Saccharomyces cerevisiae S288C: one gene and its partners. The gene in region 3 interacts genetically with the main gene of each other region. Each region holds a gene or a part of one and is shown on either strand. Other genes may lie near its edges.

Region 1 (8,553 bases), on a different chromosome or scaffold from region 3:
TATGGCTGAAAAACATAGAGGAAGAAAAAGGTCAAAAAACAAAAGATATATACAAAGTTACAAATATATACATGTATATATGTGTGAGTCTGTTGTGATAGAATGAATGGAGAAAATGTTCACCAGATTATTTCTTCAAATATTGGGCCAATTCTTCGATGGAGATCAAAGGAATGCCATGTTTCTTACCAAACGCTTGGCAGTCATTTAATCTCATCATAGTTCCTTGTTCGTCATCGTTAACCAATTCGCCAATAACAGCGACGGGACTTAGTCCACTTAGTTTACACAAATCGACACCGGCCTCAGTGTGGCCTCTTCTCTGCAAAACACCGCCATCAGCGGCTCTCAAGGGACAGATGTGCCCTGGTTTTAAAAATGATTTTGGCGTAGAGGAAGAGTCTGCAAGAGCCCTACAAGTCATCGACCTGTCGTGAGCAGAAATACCTGTGGTAGTGCCTTGGGCTACATCTACAGTTATTGTGTATGCAGTTCCATGCCTGTCGTCATCATTGGATTCAAACTTCATGCCTGTTCTCAGTAGTGGAAGGTCCAACTTATCAGCAATGGCATTCGTCATAGGTGCACAGACGTAGCCTGAGGAATGGCGTACAAGAAAGGCCATTTGTTCAGTGCTGACATTTTCAGCAGCGCAAATAAGATCACCTTCATTTTCACGACCGGCATCGTCCATAACAATTACAAACTTATTCTGCTTGAAGTGTTCTATAGCTTGATCAATTGGTGTAAACATTTTCGACGTTGCCTTTTCTTCTTTTCCTTTCCTTTTTTTTAGCCTTCTGCTTTTTGTTGGAGATATTTACATTCACCTCACATATATACGCCAATGAAAATTTCACAATAGCACGTATATTAATAATAGCCTTGCTTTTTTTTATCAATTCTCGCTAAGAAATTACTCATCAGGCAATAACCTATGCTCACCCGCCTCGAAGCGGCGTTAGGAGATAACAGTGGCCGTGTAGAGGGACGTCTTAGCATCGAAAGCCCAATTTACAACAACGAGGCGACCATCTGCACACCACACTTGACACCGTAGAGTGCGACTATTTTCCCCTCCATTGTTTTTTTCGAGCCAGCGTGCACGTAGTACGGGCCCCCCTAACAACAATGGCGCCCCTATGATAGCTTTCCCTGCTCGCGCGTCCCACAGCCGCACCGTCCAGTCCGTGGAACATGATAATAGAAGCATTAGCCGCCGAGCATCGTCCCAATGAAACTCTAACCCGGTTACCCTCGTAGAGTGGTTTTCTGCAGGTTGGAACCCATTGTTGTCCAAAGAGAGGTACAGCGGCCCAGGTTGGTCCCAGAAAACCTTGTATATACCACCGTCTTCGCCACCGATCCAGACGTACTGCGGGTCCTCACTCGTGTACGCCATGCAAGCTATACCTACCTCATCAAACTTTGCCAACCGCTGCAATCGCTCCGTATATGTGCAAGTATCATTCTCCAAAGATAAAAGCTGTGATAGCGGTACAGGACGGAGCTGCTGTGGCTTCCGCAAAACAGTCAAGTCCAGGCAGCTCAACTCCATAATATTGCCATTATCAGCTGCCACAAGTACTCTCTCTTGATCTTGCACGCTGCTTGTTTCAATTACAGCCACCACTGGGTGCTGAAAGTAGTGTCTTGCCACCATATTTCGCTGCACGACATACACTACCGGTGTTTCTGGCTTTTTCTGTTTCAATCTAAGCTCGTACAATATGATCTTGCCCGTCAAGGTCGCCAACAAGATTGATATTACATTGCTTTCCGGATGATACCGACGGAGGATCGTGGCTGTCATGATCCGCGTACCACGGAACTCTACCATATCTATCAAGAGGCCGTTGCGTCCGCTGGCATTATCGCACTTGACTACATTCACCACAGACCACGCCGCTTCGCTGCTAGCATACTGTAGGTCTGCCGGCGGCAATCGTAGATAAACCACAACCAAGACGCCTTTTCCTGGGTCATACTCCTGAGCGATACAATCGCAGTCTGTCTCTGATTGTAAATTCTCACTGACCATGTTCCATTGCATGAGGTTGTCTTTATCCTGTTGCATGTTCGATGGCGCCTGCTGGCCTGACGCAGAAACCTCTGTCTCCAGCCGCGCAAAACTAGCGTTGCTCAGCGTTGCCGCCGCCTCTTCAACAAGAAAAGGTTTGGCTAGTTCTAACCTTGGCTGGTCGTTTTCAGCTTTGTCTTTATTATTTTCGTCGGCAGCAGTAGTTTCAATGGCGACAGCATCAGTAGTGGTGTGATTTTCATTTTCTTGCAGTTGTTCTTCCTCAATTTGATCTGTTTGAATGCCTTTGTCGTATGTTATAACCTCCTTACGTCGAAGATATGCAGATTGGGGCTCTTGAATCTTTGAGCCTTCCTCCATGTCGGTCTGCACTGAAACGCTGACCATGGTTGCCTTAGCGTGCACCTCTGTGGGATGGTGGCCCATCGTCTCGCTCCCAGGGAACAAGCTGGCTTGTTTTCGCCTCTCACGCAGCTCTTTCAATTGTCTCCTTTTTTCCTCCAGTTGCTTCAATCGCTCCATCTTAATGTTTCAATCCTTCTTCCTCTTTGGTTGATTAACCAACTGTGATGCTCTTTTTTCCCTTTTCTCTTTGTTTACGGCAAAACACGAAAACTAGTTCATTTCTTTTTCTTTTCGCCTTGGACTAGTACTGAAAATTTCAATAGCATTATATTTGAGCCATAGGTAAGAAAAACCAAATTTGTTAGTATTGGGAAGGAGAATAAGATACCTGACTCGGTGATGGACATTAACATAGACGATATTCTTGCAGAACTGGATAAGGAAACTACTGCTGTCGACTCTACCAAGATCACGCAAGGTTCTTCTTCCACTACCCACAGAGATGCAAATACAATAGTGGGTTCGTCCTTAGACTTGAATGACAAGACTCAGATATATGTCTCTCCCCAGCAGGATTTTTCTGACTTGATGAAGTCTTGGAAAAATGAACGGTGTTCGCCAGAACTCTTACCATATCCTCATCAGTTGATGAAAAGATTATTGAATCGAATATCCATGCAATCTCAATTAATTGAAAACATTTCAATGGGATTCCTCGATATGCAAAATGCTTCTAATGCGAACCCGCCTATGCCTAACGAATCTAAATTGCCTTTACTCTGCATGGAAACTGAGTTAGAAAGATTGAAATTTGTTATTAGAAGCTACATACGATGTAGGCTAAGCAAAATTGACAAATTCTCACTTTATTTGCGCCAATTAAATGAAGATGAAAATTCGCTGATCTCTCTTACAGATTTACTATCCAAAGATGAAATCAAATACCATGACACGCATTCCCTGATCTGGTTGAAACTAGTCAATGATTCTATCCTGAAATACATGCCCGAAGAACTTCAGGCTATTAATGATACAGAAGGTAGCGTAAACATGATAGATGAGCCCGACTGGAACAAATTTGTCTTTATACACGTTAACGGCCCACCAGATGGTAAATGGAACGAAGATCCGCTATTGCAGGAAAACGAGTTCGGTAAACCTTGCTACACGGTCACAATACCCGATTTAAAGGAAGAGGTTGAACTCACTATTGGAAGTATTTACGTTATGAGATATGAAGTCATTAGGGATCTGCTGAGAGACGACAAAGTTGCTCTTATTTGAACTATTATGCATTACACTTTCCCCTTCACCATGTCTTACATATGCATATATATATATTATCAAGCACAGTTTCATTTTTCATCTGTCCGTGTCATGTTTTTCCGCATTTGTGTCGATCTTGCCAGCAATTTTGAGTAATTAGATGACGATCGGGTCTGCAACGAAGTGGGACGTTTTGTGTGAAGTGCGCCTTCTTCGGGTGTCTTTAAGATGCAACGGTCCGGTAAACCATTTATTAGCCTATTCGATTGAGGTACGGGAGGAGCTTGATTCTTTTTTTTTGTATTCTGTCTTTTTTGAAGAATGAACTTATCAAACATTTTATGGTCCGACTTCGGCGATACTACTTTAGGTTTGGCGGTCATTCCATTATGTATTAATTTCCATAGTTTCATTAAAACTGCTCTCTCTTTGCATCCTATGAAAATCGTCCTGGAACCGTCAATTTCAAGGACTTGATCACTTATAAAGCGTATCTTCTCAACGTCATTCAACTCTAGTTCGAATTGCAATTCAAATTCCTGTTCTTCCCACATGCTGAGACTTCTTCTCTTGACAAAAACAAGTGCTCTGCCTAGGTTTGTTATTAGAAACATTTTCTTGTAAAATTTGCCTGCACTATCAGTAGGAGGCTCGATATCAAGAGGGTTCTTGTAGTCCAGAGCCACGTTCTCAAGACCTACAGGTGAGTCCTCTAAGTTTCGTGTGGAAAGCGCTACCTCCTTCATCAACAAGACACGTTCATCCATATTTTGCAAGTAGCGTGACCAGAAGGCGTCAGAAGAGCGACTTCTATTATCTTTCCCCCGTGATGTAGTAGAAATTGAAGGAGATGATACAGATGCGCGATTTTTTGAAACCTTCTTTTGAATTACCTCGCGATCTGTGTTGTTGGAGGCAGATCTAACAGATGTGCTTGACTTGCTCCCCAATTTGGGTTGACTTGTATAATCTTTATTGAATGCGGCGGTTGCTGCAGTCATACTGATCACAGAATGCTCTTGAGAGGTCGCTGCTGGTGCTTGCAGGGGAGTATCTGCATGTCCATTACCAGCCAGCTGAAGGTTGGCCATTTTGACAGTGGTATCAGATTCAGAAACCTTTTGCAGGGGCTTCATCGCCTCTGCATTTATTTTATATGGCTGTATCTCCGGTGGATTATCATCCCAAACAGAACCATCTTCAAAGTTGACTTCATGGAAAAAGAGGTGTGCTTTGATCTGCTTTATGGTCAATCTATCATTTGGATCCCTAACTAATAGTTTTTTAACTAAATCTTTTACTATTTGCGGAAAACCTGCAGTAAACGCATATTGAATCTTCATTACTTTTTGGAATGTCAAATATTCATTGGCAGCTTTAAAAGGCGGTTTTCCCGCAAGCATTTGGTACAATATGCAACCAAATGCCCAAATGTCACAACGGGAATCTGTATAATTATCATTCAGTAGCTCAGGAGAAACATATTCTGCGGTACCAACAAATGATTTCGACTTAGCATACAAATCGAAATAAGGCTTGCCATCTGCGGTGTTCGAAGGTTCCTCCGGTAAAATTTTGGCTGTACCAAAATCCGTCAACTTCACTTTCATATTTTTGTCGAGCAATATGTTTTCGGGCTTGATATCCCTGTGAATAATGCCGATATTATGCAAGGAGTCAACGGCATCGATGATCTGCGACGCATAATAGCGTGCACATGTCTCGTTTAAAGATCCATATTTCTTAATCAAGCCCAAGAAATCACCGTGGGGGGCATATTCTAGAAGGAAATACAAGCTTGCCTCGTCCTGGAAAGTGAAGAAAAGCTTGAATATGCCCTTGGTGCCATTCAGCTTCTGCAAAGCCAATTTCTCCACTGTGACGTATTTAACTTTTTTTTGACGGATCAGATATTCTTTACTCAACACTTTTACTGCATATTTCTTGCCCGAATCACGGGCGGTAGCCAGAACAACACTAGAATATGATCCATCCCCGAGTTGCTCTCCAAACTTGAAGTCCTTTATTCCCATCTTGACAACATGCTTAGTTAACTCCCCCGTAGCTGGGTCGACAACATCTTTGACGATTTTTGCCGCACCACGTTCTGCCCATTCTTCTCTTCTACGCCTCATTGAGGGATCAAGACCCATCTCGTGCTGCATACCCGGGTCATCATTTGCCAGGGGAATGAAGCGATTAGTACTAGTCAATGCCTTTTCTCCAAACTGACCTTGTGGAGAAGCCTGTAGTTCAGACCCGCTCTGAGAATTGCTGCCATCTACGAAAGGACGAGGATACTCTTGCGTTTGTGTATGTTCCGCAGATGTCGGTACCAAGGGCTTGGACAGCAGGGCGTGGTCTGCCTCTGTCAAAGACCTATTTCCCATATTAATGATATAGTAGCAGTATTCAAGCAAGTACACGTGCGCAAGTTGTACCAGATAGTGACTGTCCAGCGTTACTTTCTCGCCTGCTCTGTATTACTCTTGTTGTCACTCCGCAATATCTCAAAGCCATTAATATGTACTAACTTGAATTTTTCATGCTCCCTTAAACGAAAATAACCCTACTGAGATTTTCACCTTTATAGGGTTATATGCTAAAATAAGTAGGTCTTATCATGCAACCTTTAGGGTCCAAGCCCTTAAATCCGACAGTCGGGCAAGCCCATTTTCCCAACGATTTTTCAACGGTTTTTTTGCCTGCAGGGCATCGGCAATTTGACAATACTCACGACCGATGGATGCAGCAATCAACGTAAAAACCTTACTTAGCCGGTTACTCATGTATATGTCAGACATATATACACACGCACACATATATATATACGTACATGTTGGCACCCTTCTGTTAATAGAATTTGATTTCTTTTCTAAAGGCATATCAGTATCATCAGTTGAAACAGTAAGGAGCTCCGCAAGCGCAATATTAACTTTACAAAAGTGATTCTGGTTCCTAACTTTTCTATTGTTTTCCATTTTCGTCATTCGTTTTGTTATTAGTCGCCTTAATTGAGTCAAGCAAGATAAAAGAAGAAAAAAAATGAGTATCACCACTACTAGAAGAAGAAACCAAGATAGTGTCTGCTGCAAGGCAACGAGAGCCTCCATTAAGGTGGAAGCTGTCTCAGGCCAGACAGTTTTTGAAAAGCAAAAACTGCTACACAATTTCGATGAGTTGCCAGAATGGCAAAAAGATAATGACAAAATTCTCACCGGGTACGTTCGTGAAACACTGTCATGGAAAAAGTGCTTATATTCTTTATTTTATTGGAACAACGAGACTGTGAACATTTATACACATTTGGTACCGGCTATCGTATACTTCGTGTTTGCCATTACGTTGACCAACTACTTTCTAATTCCCGTTTTCCCCTCCACTTCCTGGTCCGATTACACCGTTATAAACATTTTCTTGATGGGCGCTTTCTCATGTCTCATGTGCAGTAGCTGTTTCCACTGCATGAAGCAACACTCTGAAAAGCAAAGCAATTTCTGGAGCAAGCTCGACTACTTGGGGATTATCAGTTTGATTTCCTGTTCTATGATCCCTATAATATACTTTGGTTACTTCGACCACATATCCTACTTCAGTCTTTTCACGATTGTTACTTTAGTCCTGGCAACATTTTGTACAGTCTGTGTCCTCCACGACAAGTTTAACACTTCCACATTTCGTCCATTTAGGGCCATGTTTTTCATATTGTTTGGATTTAGTGGCTTACTCCCATTGACCACAGGGTTTTTCAAGTTCGGTATCCAAGGGGTTCTTAACAGAATAAAAGTCAGCTTTGTGTTTTGGGAAGCTCTCTTTTACATTTCAGGGGCTGTAATCTACGGGTTTAGGATTCCTGAAACTTTGGCTCCAGGGAAGTTCGATTTCTTCGGTAGCTCTCATCAAATATTTCATATTATGGTGGTTCTTGGTTCTGTATGCCACTTGAAAGCCATTATCGATTCTTACAAATTAATGCATTCTCATATCCACCCTTGATGGGCCTACAACTACTACAAAATCAAATAAATAACATTATATATCTAAGGTTAGAAAATAATTAAATGCAAAAAAAGTCTTTATTCCTTTTTAGATATTCGTCACATCATGCTTTTATCATAGATCGCATTTTGACAGGTACTTCGCTATATTAGCCTAATTAATTTTGGTCTTACTAAAGTGAGTAATGCCGAAAAATTAAACGTTTGAATAAGTGAACCTACTACAAAGGAAAGAGAGGAAGAGAAAAGGATAGGACTAAAAGACTTCCTTATATTTTTCGGTACGCTTGCGTTTCACTGAAGAGAATAAAAAGAACAAATTATATAAATTTAACACACTATGAGCACGAGAACAAAGGCCCTGAATGCATACAGGCATGGCTTAAGAGCAACCCGAATAGCTTTCCGGAATGATGCTGAAGTATTACTAGCCGCGAGAGCTAAAATGCGTTCAGGAATGTTATGTCCCCCAGATCCTAAACTCACCACAGAGGATCAGATTCAACATTTAGAGGATGTGGCTGTTTTTTTGAGACGAAACCTGGTTCAGGGCAAAAAGGTTGATGGCTCAAGTACTAAGGAGCCTAGGTACCATTTGAACATTCACAAAGACACCGAATTGGGTGACAATGAGACGATTGCAGACCCTACGGCAAGAGTGAAAACAAACTTAAAGGCAAGACCATTTAAATGCTCTGATAAAAAGCAATGATAATGCCTTGATTTTGTTTTATCTTCGAAGCTATATACATGTAAATACTTTTTTAGTACCTAGCAACTTTGCTAGGTGGCATATAAACTGATTTAGCACGATATATCGTTGCATTTGTTCTGTTTGTAGTATGTACATGTATACAGCTTGTTGTATTTGATGTGCTACTGAAACAGCGTAGTTGCTAGTGC
Region 2 (5,343 bases), on a different chromosome or scaffold from region 3:
TATGCACATCAGCCTCGTGACAGATGAGGATCTCATGTCAAAAACCGCCAAGAAGCATGCATTATTGAATTTGAAACGTGGTAGATTATTAAGTATATGTCTATGTAATATTAAGTAAGACAAGGGCATTCACTTTACATGCAAATGCATTTGGAACCCTTGACCGAAAAAAAAAAAACAGGTTAACCGCAAAATACATGATCTTCCTTTATTAGAAGAACCGTTTGGCTTTAGTTAAAAATTGATGCTTTTCAGTGGAATGACGATCTTCGTTTACCTGACGCTCTTCATTTTCATCAACCTCATTTAGCAAGACTTCAGGGTCCACGTGCAAGTCTCGAATAACCTTTTCGGTCGCATCTTCCATATCCATCATACCATAAATTGCAATTGTGATAATACCAAGAATACCGGCAAAGCAGGAGAATGTCATGGCAATAATACCTTTTTTGGTAAAACCGGTAGGAATGAAGGCATGCTGAACATTTTCACCAGTTAAATCAGTTAAATCCAGTGTATTGGCAGCGGCGTTACCTTCAGTGGCCACAGAGCAACTCTGGCAAACTTCTAAGTGGTTTTCACTGAGTTGTTGAGAATGAGCATCTTGGATACCAAAAGGATCCTCCACGAGAACAAGACCCAAACCTTGCAACAAATGCCATTCGATATGACAATGGAAGAACCAAACACCTGGGTTATCGGCTTTAAACCTGATGACGAAATTGGATTGTGGTCTAACGTATAAAGTATCTCTTCTCATTGGGTATTCTGGGAAGGCAGGGTGGTTGTCCGGATCGAAACTGTGAGGAACTTCACCTAGGGCATCATCATATGTACGATCTCTCTGGATGGTTTGGAAAGCGTGACCATGTAAATGGAAAGGATGGGTACCTGTGTCCTGGTTATTTAGCACAATCTCCACGATTTCATCCTTCTCTAGGATGAAAGTGTGCGTGTTTGAACCGTAGATTTCGGAGTTGTTTGCTTGATCACCTGAAGACAAAACGGTCATCAAAGTAGGAACTTTTGGTGCAGTATAGGTGATATTATTGAAGAAGGCGTAATTCACACCGTTTTTCAAGTTATCCATAACAACGTCAACGGTAATCACATGATCTGGCTCGCCATAGATGGCTTCTTTCTCGTACGGTTGCAAGTAGAAATCGTCCAAGAAGTTATCAATTGAATCCACGTAATTTTGTGTGGGCAGCGCAGCGGTTTTGTTGTAGACCATATAAGAGGTTGCATTCAGCTGTAAATCACTTGGAATGACATCCAACATGGTGTCATCAAATTTCTGCATGATGGCGAAATTTTTGTCCGTGTCGTTTTTAGTGTGAACCAGGACTGTATATCTCTGAGCGACAGTGATGTAAAGCATATCCGTTACGTTCTTCTCGGTAGTGATACCGTCGATTTCGACCACGGTCATTTCGTGGTCCTCGATCCAAAAGTACTGCGAAACGAACCCACCCACGTTGACAATTCTCAAAAGATACGTCGTATCGGGCTGGACTTCCCATGTCAGATTCATCGTGTTGTTAACAATCAAGTTCTGTGGGATGGGCTCAGCACCTGTCGGATTATAAACACTCATGAACGACTTCGTCAAGTCCGTGACCAAGTCGTGGTACCACTCACTAAGCGATAAAGAAAGTTCCTCATCGTAATCGTAGGGGAAGCTATCATCCTTGATGATGAAAAGACCTTTCATCCCGTCTTCATATTGACCGTCCGTGTGTGAATGGTACCAGTAGGTGCCTACATTGTAGTCCACCGTGAAATTGTAAAGCATAGTACTGCCTGGCGCAATTGGACATTGCGTCAAGAAGGGCACACCGTCCATAGAGGCGGTTCCGTTTTGGAAGAGACCGTGGAAATGCATAGAAGTATTGGTGTTGTTCATTCCGTTGGTCAAGTAAATCTGCACACGGTCACCTTTGTTGACCGTTATATCTGGCCATGGGAACTGGCCATTACAGGTGATCACGGGACGGCTCTTTAGCCCATCAACGTTCCTGTAGTCCCAGCCAGTGGTCCAATTAAACGTGTGCGTCTCCGCTTGTGCTAGCGAGAGCATCGAGAAAAGCAAAACGGCTATAGAGAGCAAAGCGTTAGTCATCTAGTTCTAATTTTTTGCTACTCTTCCTTACACTGGGGTCCTCTTCGTTTCCTATGCCTATCCATCGCTTATAGAACAAGAGCTATAGGGCATGGCCTGCTTACATACATATATATATATATATATATATATATATAATCGCACTACATGCACGAGGCCTTGGCATACTCCCTCGAAGGATCGACTGTTTGAGTGCATCCTTCATTTTCTGTCGCAATTGGCGAGAATAAGAGCACCTGCAAATGGGTGCACTTTTGAAGATGGGCCTTGCCTGTTGGGCCTGCCTAAGTCAGCCTCGCCTAGCTCTAGGCGGAGGGTCTTTATCGGCGACTCAGCGTACTGTAGGGACCACCCCAGGCGCAACGGGCTGATTCGCACCCGGAAAGTAAAGCTTATTTCTGTCGGACGGAGAGTGTCCTTTTTCTCTCGCAGAAGACCATTTATTGGTCCTGAAACGGTATGAACATGTTATTATTCCTGTAACCGTGAAATAGGCAAGCCAAGGCATTATCGCAAAGAAGGCAGCACAGATTCTCGTATCTGTTATTCTTTTCTATTTTTCCTTTTTACAGCAGTAATGTCTCACACAGAAACACAGACTCAGCAGTCACACTTCGGTGTGGACTTCCTTATGGGCGGCGTTTCTGCTGCCATTGCGAAGACGGGTGCCGCTCCCATTGAACGGGTGAAACTGTTGATGCAGAATCAAGAAGAGATGCTTAAACAGGGCTCGTTGGATACACGGTACAAGGGAATTTTAGATTGCTTCAAGAGGACTGCGACTCATGAAGGTATTGTGTCGTTCTGGAGGGGTAACACCGCCAATGTTCTCCGGTATTTCCCCACGCAGGCGCTGAATTTTGCCTTCAAAGACAAAATTAAGTCGTTGTTGAGTTACGACAGAGAGCGCGATGGGTATGCCAAGTGGTTTGCTGGAAATCTTTTCTCTGGTGGAGCGGCTGGTGGTTTGTCGCTTCTATTTGTATATTCCTTGGACTACGCAAGGACGCGGCTTGCAGCGGATGCTAGGGGTTCTAAGTCAACCTCGCAAAGACAGTTTAATGGATTGCTAGACGTGTATAAGAAGACACTGAAAACGGACGGGTTGTTGGGTCTGTACCGTGGGTTTGTGCCCTCAGTTCTGGGTATCATTGTCTACAGAGGTCTGTACTTTGGCTTGTACGATTCTTTCAAGCCTGTGCTGTTGACGGGGGCTCTAGAGGGGTCCTTTGTTGCCTCTTTCCTATTAGGTTGGGTCATTACCATGGGTGCTTCCACTGCGTCGTATCCCTTGGATACGGTAAGAAGAAGGATGATGATGACTTCGGGCCAGACCATCAAGTACGACGGTGCTCTGGACTGTTTGAGAAAGATTGTTCAGAAAGAGGGCGCGTATTCCTTGTTCAAGGGCTGTGGTGCCAACATATTTAGAGGAGTCGCTGCAGCTGGTGTCATCTCATTGTACGATCAGTTGCAACTCATAATGTTTGGCAAAAAATTCAAGTGAAAAAAAAAGAAAACAACAAACGAATAAAATCTAAAAATTCTACATATTCTTGCTATTTATTTACATATTCATTCTTGCTACATACCTGTCTTATGCTATAATGACACTGGAGGTCTTCTTTCTTCTTTGAATTTATGTCCTGACAATTCAGTAAACGCCGTGCGGAAGGGAACCGTTTACGTACGCCAAGCTAAACATTGAAAAAAAAAAAAAAAAAAATGATAATAATAGTAATAATAGTAACGACGTAAAGGTAAAAGAAACAACAGACTTTTAAACTTGTTAACTTTTGCATGACCTCAATTGAAGATCTGATATCAAATCCTCCCCTGCTACTGCATTCCTCACTCTCTCAACTTCGCTACCTCATACTCAGTGAAGGGCTTCCCATATCTGAAGATAAACAGCAGCAGCGCACGCGATGTTACGTGTGGACGGTGCTCTCTCAAACTTCTATGGAGGCGTCTACACAACGGTACCTTGCGCTCTTGAAACTGGGCCCACCTTCCACAACCATTTACCAAAAAATCAAGAACGACACATCCAGAACTTTTCAGACGGATCCAAACTTTAGAAATAGAGTCTCAGAGGATGCCCTCATCCGGTGTCTGTCGTGCTTTGCTTGGCAAACACAACAAAGAAGACAAAAGACTCGTTTTGGTCGCATTCCTGTGAGCACATATGTGCAGGGCATGAACGTGTTATTAGCTCCTCTGCTTTACTCATGTCCTTCTGAACCTATGGCGTATCAACTTTTCACTAAGCTTTGTTATGAAATGATACCGACGTATCTAACTAAGAACCTAAACGGCGCCCAGAACGGCGCCAAACTACTAGATATTTCTCTCAGAATCATTGATCCAAAGCTGAGTAAATTTCTATCGGACAATTTACTTACAGCAGAGATTTATGGTATGCCTTCCATACTCACGTTATCCAGCTGCAATAAACCGCTTGATCAGGTCATTAAACTGTGGGATTTCATGTTTGCATATGGATTCCATATGAATATTCTCTTTGTGGTGGCATTCCTAGTTAAAATGAGATCCAAGGTTTTCAAATCGGATTCCCCTGTTAATTTACTACGACAGTTTCCGGATTTTGATGCTGACGAGATCATTCGGCTGGGCGTCGGGTTCATCGCTAAGATCCCTGCTCAAATTTATGACCTATTGGTAGACCACTTGACCGACCCAGACATATATATACCGTAAACTATGTGAAGAAATATTATATTTTATCGTTTAATTCTACAACGTTTATATGTCTGTATGTGTAAAAAAAAATAAAACGAAAAAAGCAGTGGGTAGATGAGAAAATTTACAGTAATTTAAGGTTATTATTCTATTATTGCACGAAATGAAAATGGCTCGTACGCATATCCTTCACCTTCAAAAAATTTGGACATTGCCTCCACCCAATGCAAACGTAGCGCATGCAACATTGCGGAAGTACCTTCCATGAAAACTAGGATACAAACGGTTAAAACAAACCACATAGCAAATAAGAAAACCACCTTCATGACAGCCAAAGGCGACCCTGAGTTTTTAGAACTGAAAGCGTTTGAAATTGTCATATCCCATAAAACACTAGATAATTGCGCATGCGCCAACGATAGTGCCCAAAGACGTAGATATGATGCTGTATGAGAGATACAATTTAAACAGAATTCAATAGTATGGATTACCTGATGAATCATGACATCGCCGAAATT
Region 3 (8,717 bases):
GTTACTACAGGTAGCAACTTTTTTGGTTTTAGCACGTATCCTGATTTAAAACTTCCATCAGGTTGGTGATCTAATATTTGAAACATTGCCAGATTAAGTTGCTGTCCAATATCATTAGTTTGCCAATTCGTAGCCACCATTTGTACACCGGCCTTCCAAAAAGGTATTGGGTTAAAATTTGATGATTTGTATCGTAAAACGTGAGGATAGACTCTCATCAAATATCTTCTATTATGTTTATCCAACGATAATTTTAAGTGTTTGTCTTTTATCATGTATTCTACTTTGCGCTCATTCAGTGAAAAACAATGCGCTATCGTTTTGGACTCTGGTAAAGAGAAATTCCTGAACTTGATGCCATGTATTCCAGAAATGTTAGAAACATCATTAATTATATCAGCGTGCTTTTTTAATCCAATTCTTTTGATGCGTTGCATACTAGAAGAATTTGTTGCGCTACTACTGTTCGTGGAGTCATCTTTCATTCTTAATTCCTGTTCATTAGCTGATTCGTAAGAAGAACTAAAAGAAGATGGAAATGGCTCATTAACGCTAAGACCTCTAGTTGCTTCACTCGTCTTCTTGGATTTCAACAGTATTTTATGTTTTAATTCCCTTGGTGATGGCAGTTTATCAGTTCTTGTGCCAACAAAGTACAGCTGTTCTGCTAAAACCTCTCTCATTATCAGGCTTGCCAATTTTTGATTATCCTTGTTACAGTTTATTTCCAGTGAAATAATCAAAGGATACGGAGACGTTATAAAAGCGTACTTCTTTATCACGCGTATAACTGTTTTTAAGGGAATAGCTGACGTTAAAAATCCATGGCATACCACTGGCCCATTTTCACCATCCCATATATCAATTTCTACGCACCTACAACCTTGTTGTAGGACTTGAATATATCCCTCCACAGATGGAGTTTCTGCAATTTGTTTCCCCAATAAATAAGTATTATGTGAAGATGCAATAAAATAATGGTTTAATGGCTTTGAATATAACTCCTCTTTAACCTCCACCAAATATGGTTGCTCCTTCAAGAACTTGGTAAAACCATCTTGCCCCATCGTCAGCTGAGTCGGTTCTCTGTACTTAATAAAATATGACCATGCAGTTTGACGATCCACTTGCTCATGCTGCTCTGTAATTAAAAATTGAAAAAAATTTTCAAATGATAAGTGGGAGTGTGGAGGTTTTGTAAATTTAGACCAAATCATATTTACCTCTTTCCTATTCTTTAAGATTTTAATGAACTTTTCAAATTCAAAATAATTTAATAGTCCGTTATGATTGATGTCTGCTAATTGGAAAAACTCTAACAATTGACCAGTTGACACATAAATATGAAATTTATCACATAGTTTCTTCACATCTGCAAAGCTCAATGTGTCCTTTTTCTCATCTTCCTCTTTTTCAGAAACAGTAATTTGCCAATGTATCCTAGCGAATTGCGAATTATCAGGCAAAAGTATGCTTTCCATTAATTCCCTCCTTAACTTCACTAAACCGCAAATGCAGCTTAAGAATGTGTTAAAGTCCAATTCATTCAAAGCAACTACGTGTAACGCTTTCAATTTGTTGGAAACCTTATAAATAATAGCAATCCAAAGTTTACTGTCCGATCTCAATCTTTTCGGATCTACTTCCTCTTGATAAGTACTCGCCGTATCACCGATTCTGATGTCTTTAACGGAGTCTAATTCCAGATACTTCGAACCATCTTTCCATATTATTTGCCCGTTGTTATTGATTAATTTAAATTCATAGAACTTCCTTCTTCTTCTTGTCATCCTAATCATCCTGATTCCTCTTTGCAATACGCGACATAGCGTGCTGAGATCACAGTCTTTTCTTAATTTCTTGTTAACAAGCTCATTTATCCCATGTGAATAAGTAAGAGGCCCCATATGGACTCTAGGCAATTCGGCTGCTCTTCTAAAAATCGACCTTATGCTTCTTCTCACAGTACTTCCATTGTTCGCGCTTTTTTGGTCAGTATTAAAAGAGGATTGAAAAGAACTGTAACTTATAAAATCTAAAGCATCATCCTTTTGTGTTATTTTCCCTTGATCTCTGCATGAGTGTCGTTGTAACTCCTTTGTAAGATTAAACCTTTGGTCATCTATAGCACTTTCAGTCATTCATATACACTGCGTGAATGACCTTACCGTTGTACGTTTATAATTCCCAGTCTTTTATTGTTTTAATGACCTGAGGCTGCTTATGTCGTGATGCTTATACTATTTTTTTTATAAAGCGTCGGGTAAAGGTGTCAAAAACTGTAAAATGAAAACGTGCGGAATCTTCATGGACTATTTAAAATTACACATAATATTACATTATTTAAACTAGTATTACAAATTCTATGAATGGAGAGGGTGAGAGGGAGGATATATAAAAATGTATAAGTATACAGTTTTAGGTTAGTATCAATAAGTTGGGGTTTTATCTAAACGCCCTTCTCTTGGTGAAAGTAACTGTGATAAGGGGGTGGGAGGCCTCAATCGGGTTCTTCTTCTTGTCGAAGGGACCCAAACTTGACTATTAGGTGTCGTGATTTTTGTTGGCGGAGTCTGGAAAACCTTTGCTATCGGTGTGTTTTCTACGGTGACTTTCACCACTTTATCCTTGTATATAGGGATCCTAGAGGGCAAGGACCGGTAATGATTCCATTTATCTTTTTCGATGTCAAGCACAGACTTATTCTTTGCCATCAAAGGAGTTTCTGTAATCTGTACTTTATTTTCATGCCGAGATGTAATGAAGGAGTCTGGTGACTTTTCATTTTCCCCACGAGAAACACGGAGGGTGGTTTCATCGGTTTCGTCATAAGGTAAGGGAGGAACACTACTTAGTATCAGTTTTCCTTTGTTTGGCGACTCCGGATCAAAAAATGGATTAATCGCATTTGATGAATTTGGGCTTGTTGCAGGTTTAATATTCATCTTCTGCAGTAACGCTTTACCAAGCTTTTTACCTTTCAAAGCCACTGTAGTTGAATTTTCCGGTGTTTTATTACTGTCACCTTCATTAATGGCGACTCTCTCCTGGAAATCCTGGGTTATAGTTCCAATAACACTATTCGGTCGCCCAAAGCCTAATGATTTCGGTTTTGGAATCTTCTTCTTGCTAGTAGCTATTTTGTTTGAAGCGGAGGATTTGATTAGAATTTTATCCGCTGTAGGCTTGATATTCAGCCATCTTTGAGCTAATTCATTTGTCTTCGATGCGACGCCAGCGTCCAAAAGTGAGAATTCCAATGCTCTGTAAATAATATTGAATGTCTTAGAAACAGTTTTTGATTTTCTCTCCAATTGCCTCTCGAGCCTTATAGTGATATCTTTGGTATACTTTGTTGTCAGTAATTTCGACTGCAACCTTTCTATCTCATCAAGAATGTATAATAGTTCATGATTTAAATTAATAAAGAGTATATTCCAACGTTTGTCGATTAGTTCGACTTTCAATTCCCTAAACTCTGAATTCATAAATCTATAATCTTTCATTATCAGCTCGTATTTTTTTTGCAAGATTGTTTGCAAAGTAGTTATGTTTGTTATATTCCGGTGCCCAAATTGCACAATTCTTTGAGGTAGGATATCAGTCAAACTTTTTTCAATTGGAGGGATATTTTTTTTTAGGTTCAAGAACTTTCTTGATAAAATATCTTCTGCCGGAGAAAATTTTGGTACCTTTGGCTCAGTTGTCTCCGTATGCGTTCCTAATAACTTGACTAGTTGTTCTAGGGTAAATGATGGAGTATGCCGTATCGGGGACGCGAACCTTTCTTCCTGAATTTCCAGACAATACGATATATTGCTATTAATGATTTTATGTAATGTATCCATATGATCCTTTGAAATTTCGTTAAATTCCAATGACGTATCCAATAATTCCTTCAAGTTAGTAAGCCATGGCTCCAACTGAGTCTTAATTTGTGTAGATTCTTCTATGACGTCAAACATCGGGCTAAATCGATTGTATTTGTCGCTATCCTGATCGTCCTTCGAGAATTCATCCTCTAGTAAATCCAACAAATGAGCAAAACCTTCCTCAATATTATGAACGTCACTAATAAATTGATATAGCATATATTTTTTCAATAATAACCAGTCCATAAACAACAAAATATCGTCTTTTCCCAGTCTTTTCTTGTTGACTAAGTCGGGAATTACCGAGGCAACGTTCTCCAAATCATCATAAAATTGAACTAACAATGTCTCTGATATACTTGTGGTACTCTCATTCAATGAGTTGCAATCGTTTATTGAATGTAATGTATTGTGAATTCTTTCTAAACGTTCACAAAAGTTCTCTTGGAAGTCATCCCCAATGGTCATAGATCTGGGTCCATCATTATCCATGGCAGTGCTACTGAAATCTTTAAGGCTGTTACAGACAAAGATTCGTGCGGCCACATTACACTTTGTTATTGTTTCAATGTTATTTGTTTATGCTACCAAAAGTATCGATTCGGGTAATGAAAATCCTTTTTATTTGGCATTTAACAGTATTATATATAGTATATATTTAAATGTGCGAGATAAGAATGGGTATATGCGATGCGGATGACTCACGGTTGTGGTGTGATCTTAATTGGATTAGCCTCCTTTGCCGCGTCTTTCAGGAGATGTTCGACAGATTTTTCAATATCATCTGAATTATTGTCTTTCGTCTCTGGAGACTGGTTATTGCTGTCGTTATCATGATTATTATCATTATCGTCATTATCGTCCTTTTTCTGGTCATCATGCTCCTTACTCTCATTCAAATCTTCCTTTTCGATGACCTTCTCTATTTGCAGTTGTTGGTCAGATGGCCCAGGAGCCGCTTTCTCATTAAGTAATTGCGATAAAGCACTTGTTGGATTCGCATACAATTCTTTGAATTTGCCCATTTCTACCACTGATCCATCATGGCCAAGGACAATAACATTCTCTGATCTTCTGATCGTACTTAGCCTGTGCGCGATGCTAACAATAGTCATCGATTTTGATTTCATTAGTTGACCAAACGTATAGTTAATGGCTCCTTCACTTTCAACATCTAAAGCTGATGTAGCTTCATCAAGAATCAAAATAGTTGGCTTTTTGATTAGAGCCCTTGCAATCGCAATACGCTGCTTTTGTCCTCCACTTAGTAAGGTGCCGTGAGGACCAATTACCGTATCGTATGTGTTCGGAAATTTTGTGATAAAGTTATGGCAAAAGCACTGCTTTGCTACTGACCTGATTTCTTCCTTTGTTGGGGTATATGTCAACCCATAAGTGATATTATCCCTAATAGTACCTGACATCAGTACCGGCTCTTGCTGAACGATACCAATATGCCTTCTTAGGGATTTACAATTCAATTTAGAGATATCTTGGTTATCTATCGTAATAGTCCCAGTAGTGGGATTATAATATCTTAGCAGTAAGAGTGCAATTGTAGATTTACCACGACCTGAAGGGCCCACAATACAAACACTCGATCCTGGCGCAATTTTAAAATTTAAATTCTTGAATATTTGAACAGAAGGCCTTGTAGGGTAGCTAAATGAAACATCTTTAAATTCGATAACACCACGATCTGGTTTATACTTGTGTCCCACAGTCGGTGAAATGGAAGGTTTCCTATCTGTTAATTCAAACAACCTGGAAGCGGCCCCAGCACCCTGCATAATTTCCGAATAGAAGGTAGAAAGGCCGAATACCGCATTCCCCGTATATTCTGTGTACAGCATAAATGCAGTCAGATCACCAATGGAGAGCTGTGATTGTAAAACAAGATAGGAGCCATACGCAAGGACGGTTAAAAAACTTAGGTCACCTAAGAGACTAGTTGTAGTAAAAAACTTTGCGTTTGTAAATGCCGCAGTTTTTCCCACCTGAAAAATATCTCTAATTGCAACGTTATACCTAGACAATTCATTACCTTCAGCAACAAACGACTGAACCGTCTTGATACCAGAGAGTTGTTCTTCAGCGACTCTAGTCAATTGACCAGTAGCTTCTTGAAGGTCTTTAGAGGTGTTTCTAATTTGCTTCCCGAACACTGAGGCACTAAAAAGAACAGGTGGAGTGAAGAATAGTAACAATATTGATAGTTGAGGTGACAAAGAACACATCATCCCCACGCCAACAACCCCACAAATTAGGGCTTTGACCCCATCCGAGACCTTCTGGGTCATTGATCTTGAAACAACATAAGCATCAGATCCTAAACGAGAAATTAAATCCCCAACTTTATGGTTGTCGAAGAATTCTGCGTCTTGATGAAGCGTTTTTTTAATGACATTTGCCCTTAGGCGTGCAACAACACGCTCACTTAGTATCCTCAATAATATAAATCTACCAAAATTAGCAGCACAACCAATCAGTAAAGCAACAGTAAAAAAGGAAAGAAACTCATATAAAGGCAAAGAAAAAATCGGTATCTTCAAATCAAAAAAATCTGATCCAGATGACGTCTTAAGTGTGTCAAGGACAATACCTATGACTTTAGGAATAGACATGCCTATGGAACATGATATGGTTAAAAGAAGTATGGCTGTAAGAAGCAGTTTCCAATCCCGTTTCGCCAACATAAATAACCTTATTATATCTTTATAGTCATCAGTTTTAGATTGCTCCTTTGCATGTGCCGACCTTGCTGATCCTTTAGATATGGGAGAGGCTGAAGGCAGAGAAGTTTCTGGAACTGTTTTGGATGAATTACATCTAAAACTTTGTAAAATTAGTGATTTTCCAACTGCAGGTGACCTTAAACACAACCGACTGAGAGGAATGAGCTGCGATGAAGAAGGGGTGACCAAAGACCGAAACCTTATAGATGGCAGTTTAGCCAGTCGGGGACGGGACAGCATGTTTCTGCATATGCCCAGCCGCAAAAGTGGTAAACGACCATTCAACATTGCGATTGGCGATGATGGGACATATATTTCTTTTTCTTTTAATGCAATGATACAAACTTTATACCACTCTTCGAAGCGGCCAGTATTCAATATCATTGTAGTCATTATTAGTTTCCCGTATAAAAGTACGTAAGTTTTCATACACAGTTGCTAGAATATTTAAAATGTATATCAGCGAGTAAAAAAAGAGCTGCAGTTCCCAGGAAGCGTTAAACTATTTTGTTATTGGAGTGGGTTCAGAAGCTGCAGTGCCATTTTTATATTGGGTATAAAAAGCATCTGTTTGCGATCTGTTAAGAACACTAGCGGTTTGTAATTCAGTTTTCAATGAAGAACGGATAGCCTGAGCGGCCACATTCAAATATGCAGCATATGATATACCAGCTTTCCTCCAGGCAGACATTTTATGAATCGGTTGTGGGCTGAAACTGTTGATGTTTCTTAGAAATACATATCTTGCTAAGTACTCAATAGAAAGGCCTACTTGTATCTCTTCATTTAACTAGACGAAAAAGGGGAGGATCAAATTTCATTGGTTCGTATAAAAGTATTAAAAAATAAGCGCGTTGCCAGACTTAGTGTGAGATAGTAAGCTAGTAAATCATCTGCTATTACCTAGTTTAGCGTATTTCCTAATAAGGATTACCAATTCCTCAAGTTCATGGCTTGGTAAGATACAGCTATAGCTTTCTTAGTTTTTTTCTTCGAGAGAACTAGTACAATGCTTCTATAGAAGTTAAGAAGTTTACCTTTTCGAAGAACAAATATATTGTTGCTTTGCTTACTCCGAGGTTATCGACTATTTTTGGCAATCCGTTTGAACCTGGATAAATACGTAAATCAGACTTTCTTTAGCCGGATCAACTCTTTTTTTTTTGTAAGCACTCTGACTTGTCGCTGCTGTGTCTGCCAATAATTCAATAATTCATAGTATTTCATACCATATGCTTTATTTAGTGTCCCACTGATGTGAGTTGAAGAATTGTATTCAGATAGGCATATCTTAAGGTCCAACTATTGCCACCGTCGTAGTGCGGAAAGGTTGATTATCGAGCGAATTAGAGGAATAAATGCTGCTATGCGCACGATGAGCAAATCGGAAGTAAACCACGCCGCTGATCCACCTGAACAAAAGAATCTCGCGGAGTTACGATTTAATGTAGGTTTGCTCAGATTACGTTACTGATACTTTACTTTGGACAAAAGTTCTCATACAAACTGTGGAAACAACACCGCTTAAACCAACGATTATGAAATGACATGGTCTAAAGTAATATAATCTATATTAGAATGTGCAGATGGCTATGGTATCCATGCGATGGCAAACCTCCGCAATGATTGGCGTTCTAGCGGCTATCCGAATTCACAATCGACAAGAAGTACTTCTAACTTACACAAGGCAACGAAATAATATCACTCTATGAAACTGCCATTTGGGTAATAGGAGTATATTGAACGACACCGGGTCAACAAGCAACTTTCCTAAGCCTTTTACACTTCTTCACATCATTCAAGATCGCCTTTTAACGAGCTACAAACCTTCACGTTCGTTCTTCTATGGAAACGTTTAAGATAACGTTAAAACGTTCTCAATCACAGAATTTAAGATGATTAGAAATGTTTTCCAAGGGATAGGGCGAAGCACAACCTCGAAAAATGGCAAAATTTTAGAATCTTAGCCACCTTAACGTCTACTTAGAGCCTTAGAAAAGCCATCAAGATTGGTGGAATAGTTGTTGAGGGAACTTAGCCGCCACATTCTCGTAGCCAAATAAAGCGAATCTGACCATTGTATGTTTCTTTTTCACTGGTATGATAGCCC
Region 4 (8,216 bases), on a different chromosome or scaffold from region 3:
GGGCAAGAGACGAAAGACCTTTGGACACTATAAGAAGTTTCGAGTATGCTGTCTCCGGAGACCCGGTCTGGGCCCAACAGTTGGAGACTCCAACTTACGGGTTCCGCGTAAGACCTGATTTCCCTGTGTTTGGTGCTGCTGTGACTTACGATGCGAACGGTATGCCACAGCAAGTGGGTGGTGCTTCCAGTCAAATGTATGGTGAACAAGCAGTGTATCAGCCACAACAACACGTACAGACTGAGGAAAAGCAAAAGAAGAAGAAGAAGGGATTGTTTGGTAGAATGAAGAAGAAATAAGCGCTTGATACCCTTTAGAGACTTTATTTTTTTCTTTTTTATGATAATTTCTGTTTTCCGCTCTTATTTTGGATATTTCATATTTCATATTGTTATTATTACTATTATTATATATACATACACACACATATTTTCAATTTTTTTGTCATATGGAGACGAAAAAATGAAGAATGAAATTAAATTGGTTTATAAAATTATTTCTCCGCCTTTTATTTGCTATTTCTCTGTAGAGCTTCGTCTTCGAGGGTATCAATTTTACGCCTGATCTGCTCCATATTTTCGCGAATTTTAACCTCTTGTTCATCGAATTTTTTATCCAGCTCATTTAAAGCCTTTAGCCAAACTTTTCCTTGTTCTTGGATGCTGGTTATTTGTGAATCCAGCCCTTTCGTGGTTTCGTACACCTCGATCACCCTGTTGTTCATTTTATTGAGACTTTTCATCCTCTCCGCCAACAGTGGTAGTGAATCTTGATATTGCTTGAACATGGAATACATACTATTTATCTCCTTTACTTTGTTTTCGGGCATAACAAGCTTGCTCACGGTGTCATCTTTCAACCTCAAGTCCTGTTGTATTTTCTTGCCTAACAATGAGTTTTCAAATTCCTCGTTCAGTTCTACGAGTCTATCCCGGAACTTTTGCAGCTTTCCTTCCGCCTTATCATCGCCTTGTAAAAGTTGAATACTTCTATATAGTTCATTGACTTTACTATGAACCGATTTCCTATCTTCTTCTGCCTCCAAAGCTTCTGGTATGCCAACAAAACGTTCCATTAGGGATATTTTCTGATCTAACTTTTGCAATCTTTTGATATTACTCGTATCAAGAATTATGTTTGGCAATATGACGGTATCTTGGCCTTCATATGTTTCGAGAAGCTTCTTCCTCAAATTTGTCAATCTACTAGATGATTCCGTCGCCAATTTTGATTGAATTTCGCACAATTCCTTGATTTCAGTTTGCATTTCAGATGTTAAATTTTCTATTTTCAACTCCTCCAATTCTTCTCTTATTCTTTCTAATTTCTGTTGCCGACTTTCATCTTCTTCATCGTTACTCAACTTTCTCGCATCTGCACAGTCTGATTGGTTTTGTCTATGTATCTTGAAAAGCAACTGATCTCGAATAGCCCTTCTCAAACTCTCAACATCTCTCCCTGGTTCAACGATGAGCCCATCTTTTCTTGAAGATGCTTCTTCCTGCTCTTCTTGTTGTCCATCTTCCTTCACTTCATTTTCAAAAATTTCTTGAGATTCCTCATTGTCAATGCCAATCAAGCTATCATAATCCACATTGATGGCAGGATCACTTAAATCTATGACGTTCATCAACCAGTAGATTTCTTTATCTTTCTTAGCCTCATGACTTATCTGCTCTTCTTTTTTTTTTTGAAATGCATTGGCTCCCAAAAAAGTAATAGTACATCTATACTTGTAAACACTATTATTTGTGCTGGAAAGATGGCCCCTCAATTGGAGTCCTAACTTTGATTATACAAAAATGCCACTGAAACGCTCCTTAAAAGAATCAATCGAAAGATTATCTAGTTTTCAATCAAAATATAATATTTTCACTAGTATCAATCCATCTCCTTATTCAATCACAAATAAAAAAGGTACAAAAGAAACATTGACAGGTTGCGTTGCCAGTATCAAGGATAATATAGTTACAAAAGATTTTCCAACCACATGTGCCTCACATATACTTGAGAATTTCAAGTCTCCCTTCGATGCAACAGTAGTGAAACTATTAAAACAGGCAGGAGTGCATATCTTAGGCAAGACAAATTTAGATGAATTTGGAATGGGTTCTGGGGGAGTACATTCAATAAGAGGGCCCGTAATTAACCCTTTATATCCTCATGAGGACAAGAAGATCATGGGAGGTTCATCGTCTGGAGCCGCTGCAAGCGTTGCTTGCGATCTAGTCGATTTTGCCTTGGGAACAGATACTGGTGGCTCCGTTAGGCTCCCCGCATGCTATGGATCTGTTTTAGGATTCAAGCCGTCCTATGGACGGTTGTCAAGATTTGGCGTAATAGCGTATTCTCAATCTTTAGACACTGTTGGCATACTTAGCAAAAAGATAAACGTCTTGCGAAAAGTATTTCATACGCTCGATAAATATGACATGAAAGATCCCACTTCCTTAAGTGTGGAATTGCGTGAATTGATAGAAGGGAATAAAAAGGTTAGGAGACCTTTAAAGGTAGGAATTGTAAAGGAATTTAGCCATGAAAGTATGCCCATTGGGTTCCACAGATTATATTTATCCTTACTAGAAAAGCTGATAAATTTAGGGCTTGAAATATACCCTGTATCCATTCCATCTGTAAAAAACTGTTTACCGATTTATTATACGCTATCACCCGCTGAAGCGGCTTCCAATTTATCAAGGTATGATGGTATCAGATATGGATACAGAGATTCAGAACTCGATATAAAAGACGGTATTTTATTCGCACCTACTAGGTCCAAATTCGGAACAGAAGTTAAGAATAGAATCATTCTAGGTAATTATAATCTTTGTTCAGATGCATTTAAGAACAATTTTATTAAGGCAGAAAAGCTACGAGTTAATTTGATCGATGAATTTGACGGGATCTTCAGATTTCCAAATGTTTTAACTAATTCTAAGGGAAATCCAGACGGCCTAGATCTACTGATAGTTCCCACATCGTCCAAGCTTCCTGGATCCATAAGGGACTTCGAAGAAGAGGAAGCCAAATCTCCGGCTAACTCGTATATAAACGATGTCTTTACTGTCCCAATGTCATTGGCTGGACTACCAAGTTTATCAATGCCTTTAAAAGAGAAGACCCCGATTGGCTTACAGGTAGTAGGTCAATATGGTGATGATTCCACTGTGTTAGATTTTGTCGAGTCAATATCATAAATTTGTGAGGACAACGTTAATCATGTAAATATTATTATTTTTACTTTATACCTATAGAAAGTTCGAAAAAATTAATCTATGATATTCACATACAAAATTTTACCATTATACTGGCAGAACCCTAACTCCCGCTAATTTATCTACTATTGGAGCGATTGCTGGGTGAGAAAGTATGGGACCAATTATGGGCATTGATCTCAAAAATTGTACGATGACGCCAAAAAAATCACCAAAGAGACCTATAATACCTAGAGATTCAATTATAAAGCCCAAAAATGTCCATTTCAACAGTATTAAGAAGGCACCAACTAGGAAAAATAGTGAACCGCGCCTTTTGTTTGGCCTGGTAAAAAAAATATATGTCTTTTGTGAACCGATTATTAAGAATACTCCAATTAAAAACAAAATATTGCCCAAGGCCAATAGGGCACGATCAAAAAAAGTAAATATACCAAACAAAAAGAAGAGAAAACCGCCGAAAGTGAAGGCCACACCAAATTCTAGTGAAAAGTAAGTTGTTAGTAAAAAAGGAACTAACGTCTCTCGGAGAAGCAAAGAGCATCTAAAATATTAAAAACATACTTTGAGCCTCTGTGAGCCACATTTTACGCGATGATGGGTAAGCTAAATGATCACTGGGCTGAACTGTAAATCAATCACACGGAGAAGGCAAACGCCAACGCCTTTTAACTCATCTTAAGTGTTTGGGATGGACAACTTTCCAATGTCCGAAAAGAACACGACGGGTAATACTATGCACGAAAAATAAACCATACCATGGAAACCGTAAATGCCGGATGAGTACTAAGAAGCGCAACACATTATTATTTGATTCTTAAAGTTACTATTTTTCTTTGTGATCCCCCATAATTAATATATATATGTTACAGTTATATTTATTTCTTGAAAAAAAAAAAAAAGAATAATTAATCGTAAATTTCATTAGTTAGAATGTCGTCCCAGGTAAAAAAAAAAAGAAAGAAAAAAAAGGTGAATTATCATTCAACACTATATCTGCATGGTTTCATCACCATCAGAATCATCAACATTCACCTGGAATGAAGCTGCGTGTTTTCTTGCAGGATTCTTATCGTTAGTAGTATCATAATCGTTAATGGCTGTGGTATCATTGCTGCTCATCGAGGCCGTACGTGGGGTTAAAAGTAAGTCAACTTCATTGACATATTTCTTCACGCTAGTAGAGGAACCTTGCCTCGATAAGGTTTTGGGGGTATTGAAATTTGAGCGCGATTCTGGAGTGGTGCTGAAACAACCGTTCATCAAGCTATTCTTTGGTGGCTTAGGGTCCAAGACAAAAGTAGAATTCTTTTTCACGAGGCCTGACTTGGATGATGATAAAGAAGTACCGTTTTTGTTAGCGTGAAGATAGTCGAATGTGCCTGCAGGCTTAAGAGATGTCATGGATAATGTTTTCTTCAGAGTGTCTCGAATTCTATTCAATGATCTTTCACGAGAATTAATGGTTCTATCAACGTAAAGGTCAGGCAAATCCATCTTGCTGCTGAAGGCGGTGGAAGTTTCAGAGGACCCGCCATCCATATTTAAATACGCTAGAGTAGTTGTCTTTCTTGATTTGGAAGGAGACCTCAATGTGTGCATGGACGCTGTAGAAGATACCCTTCTTATTGTTGGATGAAAGGAGAAATTCGGCGTGTCCTTAGTATTCAAAGAATTTGAAGTAGCAAAATAATCCTTAATAAAGGGATGCTGTTTCAAATTCTTAGCAGAACGCCTAACGGCCGGGTCAATAGTAAAACAGCATTGAACAAAATTCCAAAATTGTTCGTATTTAGGGTCGTGCATCATTTGTTCGTCGACGTAATAGTCACATTTTGAAATACATTCCAGAGTTTCGTCGTCTGTGGTACAGTCAAAGGGCGTATAGCCGAAGGCCATGAAATATGTCAGTACACCAAGGGCCCATATATCCACCGGACAACCATACTTGTCTAGTTTGCCAACTTGATCAGGAGTCATTTCACCGACACCTTTGCACTTGACGATTTCTGGAGCAATATACGAGATGGTTCCAACAAACTCCTTTAACGAGTTTACCTTACTTGTGTTATATTCAGCAGCAAGACCAAAATCGGCGAGAACTAGGTCGTGTGCCAAGAGATCGTATTTGAAATCTCCGTGGTGTTCACCCTGTAGGTTTTTTTCGTTTTCGTTCACTCTCAATCTGAATAAGACGTTTTCTGCTTTCAAGTCTCTATGAACAATACCTTGAGAATGCAAAAACTCGAGAACGCTCACCAAACAGGCGCAGTACGAGGTAACTTGAGTTTCGAGGTCTAAACACTGATTTTCAACAATTTTTTCATACAAATCTCCCTTCTGACACAGCTGAGTGATCAGGACAATGTTATCTGCCGTCTCAAAATAGTCGAAAAGTTGTAAAATATGGTGATGCCCCTCAAAAATGTCCAAAGAATGTTCATTCTTTTTTTCCATATCTCTGATTTTCTCGCTTATTGACCTCAAAAGGTCGAACTCTCTTTGAATAAGTTGAATTTTGTTCTTGACAGTTTGTTTCTTAATAAGCTTCATCGCGTACAAATCCTTTGTGTGTATATTCATACATTCTTTCACGACGCTAAAATTCCCATCGCCCAAGGAGTTGTGGTTGGTTACGTATTTACATTTGAAGGTTTGAGCGTCTGCATTGCTGCCACTCAGTTGCGGCCAAGGTTTTTCTTCCGGCAGGCGCTGTTGTAGCTGGGAAGCAGAAGAACTAGCTGTAGTCATATCCTGGATGTGTATTTTTCTTTTTGAACTGTTGTAATGTCAATTGTATGAAAATATCGCGGTTTGGCTGAGACAGTCGTGGTAGGTAACTGAAGGAGCAAACAAGAAATTAATAAATAAACAAGTTAGCAAAACAAATAAAAAAACTGTCACTCTAAATAGAAAGAAGTAAAGAAGCAGAAGAAGTCATCCCCGTTCGACACGTTTTCATATTCTGAGTACATGATAAACCCCGCCCTCTTTTTCTTTTTTTAGGAATCCCCCTTTCTATTGTCAGAACAAGAAAGCGGTGTTGGAATTCAAGCAGCTTTTTTTTTTTCTTTTCGTCATACAGTTTCTTTTTCAGGAGTCTTGGTAGCACCCCACCCGTGGAATCGGCGGAATAACCTAACACGTGGAGGTTTTTCCGAGGTGCCAAAAAAGGAAAAACAAAGAGAAGCTGAAATCGGAATTTGAAGAATAGCGTGGGGGGGAGGGGGTTATTCAAGGAGCGCCTGTACCGGCAACGATAGCTTCGGCGGCTAAGATGGCAAACCTAATAGATGTATGTAAAAACATGGATGATAGCAGGCGGTGAACAGCCATGGTAATTTTAGGGAGTGCAAAAGTTATATGTAAGGCTATATCTGTATCAGTTAACAGGGGTGGAAAATGATTTGATAGGCGCAATATGTTTATTGGTAAAAGAGCATCTTAAACCACTTCATTCCATTTCTCACTATCACAAGTGATATATTATGTGTATTTTGCAATCCATGACGCTTTAATGCTTTACAAAGCGCTGCTACTTCTATTTTCTTAACGTAAAGAGGAGTGTATGACGACTAAGAATTGTTTACCCGGCGAGAGTCGATTCTTCGTTACCCGAATTGAAAATTTTTTATTTGCTTTTTCTTTTTTTTTTTTTTTTTTTTTTCAATATTAGCTTTAGCGATGAGATGAGATTTTATAGTGTATACACGGTACTTGAGTACATAGCTATTGGATAACTGTATACTATAATAATTAGATAAGCTGAGCAATATTAACAGGAGAAGTATGGCTACCCCGTCAAATAAACGTTCTAGAGATTCTGAATCTACAGAAGAACCTGTAGTAGATGAAAAGAGCACTTCAAAACAAAACAATGCCGCACCTGAGGGAGAACAAACTACTTGTGTGGAAAAGTTCGAAGAACTAAAGTTATCACAGCCAACTTTAAAGGCCATTGAAAAGATGGGATTTACCACTATGACTTCTGTTCAGGCAAGGACTATCCCACCTCTTTTGGCCGGTAGGGATGTTCTTGGTGCTGCCAAGACAGGTTCTGGTAAAACTCTAGCGTTTCTCATCCCTGCTATTGAACTATTGCATTCTTTGAAATTCAAACCAAGAAATGGTACCGGTATAATTGTCATTACGCCTACAAGAGAGTTGGCTTTACAGATTTTTGGAGTGGCAAGAGAGTTAATGGAATTCCATTCACAGACATTTGGTATTGTCATTGGTGGTGCAAATAGAAGACAGGAAGCCGAAAAATTGATGAAAGGTGTTAACATGTTGATTGCTACCCCTGGAAGATTATTGGATCACTTACAAAATACAAAAGGATTTGTATTCAAGAACTTGAAGGCTTTGATTATCGATGAAGCGGACAGAATCTTAGAAATTGGGTTTGAAGATGAAATGAGGCAGATAATTAAGATCTTGCCAAACGAAGATAGGCAATCCATGTTATTTTCAGCTACACAAACGACCAAAGTTGAGGATTTGGCTAGAATCTCGCTGAGACCGGGCCCTCTTTTCATTAATGTCGTTCCTGAAACCGACAACTCCACCGCAGATGGATTAGAACAAGGCTATGTGGTATGTGACAGTGATAAGAGATTTTTGTTGTTATTTTCTTTCTTGAAAAGAAATCAAAAAAAGAAAATTATTGTATTTTTATCATCTTGTAACTCTGTGAAATATTACGCTGAATTATTGAACTATATTGATTTGCCAGTCCTCGAATTACACGGTAAGCAAAAACAACAAAAGAGAACAAATACATTTTTCGAATTCTGTAATGCGGAAAGAGGTATCTTGATTTGTACAGATGTCGCAGCTAGAGGGCTAGATATCCCTGCTGTGGACTGGATCATTCAATTCGACCCTCCTGATGATCCAAGAGATTATATTCATAGAGTCGGAAGAACCGCAAGAGGCACTAAAGGTAAGGGTAAATCTTTAATGTTTTTAACACCTAATGAATTAGGGTTTTTAAGATAT

The links.
Region 1: mutations in KAR9 (region 3) and PAC11 together harm fitness more than expected from each alone (negative genetic interaction), as found in Saccharomyces cerevisiae (5 studies listed by BioGRID, with this or other methods).
Region 2: mutations in KAR9 (region 3) and BUB2 together harm fitness more than expected from each alone (negative genetic interaction), as found in Saccharomyces cerevisiae (9 studies listed by BioGRID, with this or other methods).
Region 4: mutations in KAR9 (region 3) and JNM1 are lethal when combined (synthetic lethality), as found in Saccharomyces cerevisiae (7 studies listed by BioGRID, with this or other methods).

The regions. Positions count from the first base shown.
Region 1 is NC_001136.10:1,428,227-1,436,779, forward strand, and holds PAC11 (dynein intermediate chain), read right to left. Parts: upstream 2,564-8,553; coding exon 962-2,563; downstream 1-961. Other genes in the region: 3,4-dihydroxy-2-butanone-4-phosphate synthase RIB3, read right to left, coding at 128-754; DNA replication protein SLD5, read left to right, coding at 2,786-3,670; serine/threonine protein kinase PKH1, read right to left, coding at 3,742-6,042; IZH1 (PAQR-type receptor), read left to right, coding at 6,698-7,648; MZM1 (Mzm1p), read left to right, coding at 7,991-8,362. UniProt on the Saccharomyces cerevisiae protein: Required for viability in the absence of the kinesin-related CIN8 mitotic motor. May be a dynein intermediate chain.
Region 2 is NC_001145.3:385,601-390,943, reverse strand, and holds BUB2 (Bub2p), read left to right. Parts: upstream 1-3,922; coding exon 3,923-4,843; downstream 4,844-5,343. Other genes in the region: ferroxidase FET3, read right to left, coding at 212-2,122; ADP/ATP carrier protein AAC1, read left to right, coding at 2,700-3,629; STV1 (H(+)-transporting V0 sector ATPase subunit a), read right to left, coding at 4,969-5,343. UniProt on the Saccharomyces cerevisiae protein: Part of a checkpoint which monitors spindle integrity and prevents premature exit from mitosis. This cell-cycle arrest depends upon inhibition of the GTP-binding protein TEM1 by the BFA1/BUB2 complex.
Region 3 is NC_001148.4:28,660-37,376, reverse strand, and holds KAR9 (Kar9p), read right to left. Parts: upstream 4,365-8,717; coding exon 2,430-4,364; downstream 1-2,429. Other genes in the region: PLC1 (phosphatidylinositol phospholipase C), read right to left, coding at 1-2,141; ATP-binding cassette permease MDL2, read right to left, coding at 4,574-6,895; ATP15 (F1F0 ATP synthase subunit epsilon), read right to left, coding at 7,110-7,298. UniProt on the Saccharomyces cerevisiae protein: Involved in karyogamy. Component of a cortical adaptor complex that orients cytoplasmic microtubules. It may be involved in anchoring cytoplasmic microtubules to the cell cortex.
Region 4 is NC_001145.3:850,380-858,595, reverse strand, and holds JNM1 (Jnm1p), read right to left. Parts: upstream 1,631-8,216; coding exon 509-1,630; downstream 1-508. Other genes in the region: GSR1 (Gsr1p), read left to right, coding at 1-299; glutamyl-tRNA(Gln) amidotransferase subunit HER2, read left to right, coding at 1,803-3,197; GOT1 (Got1p), read right to left, coding at 3,303-3,697, 3,780-3,801; protein kinase TDA1, read right to left, coding at 4,206-5,966; ATP-dependent RNA helicase HAS1, read left to right, coding at 7,005-8,216. UniProt on the Saccharomyces cerevisiae protein: Component of the dynactin complex which assists cytoplasmic dynein by increasing its processivity and by regulation of its cargo binding.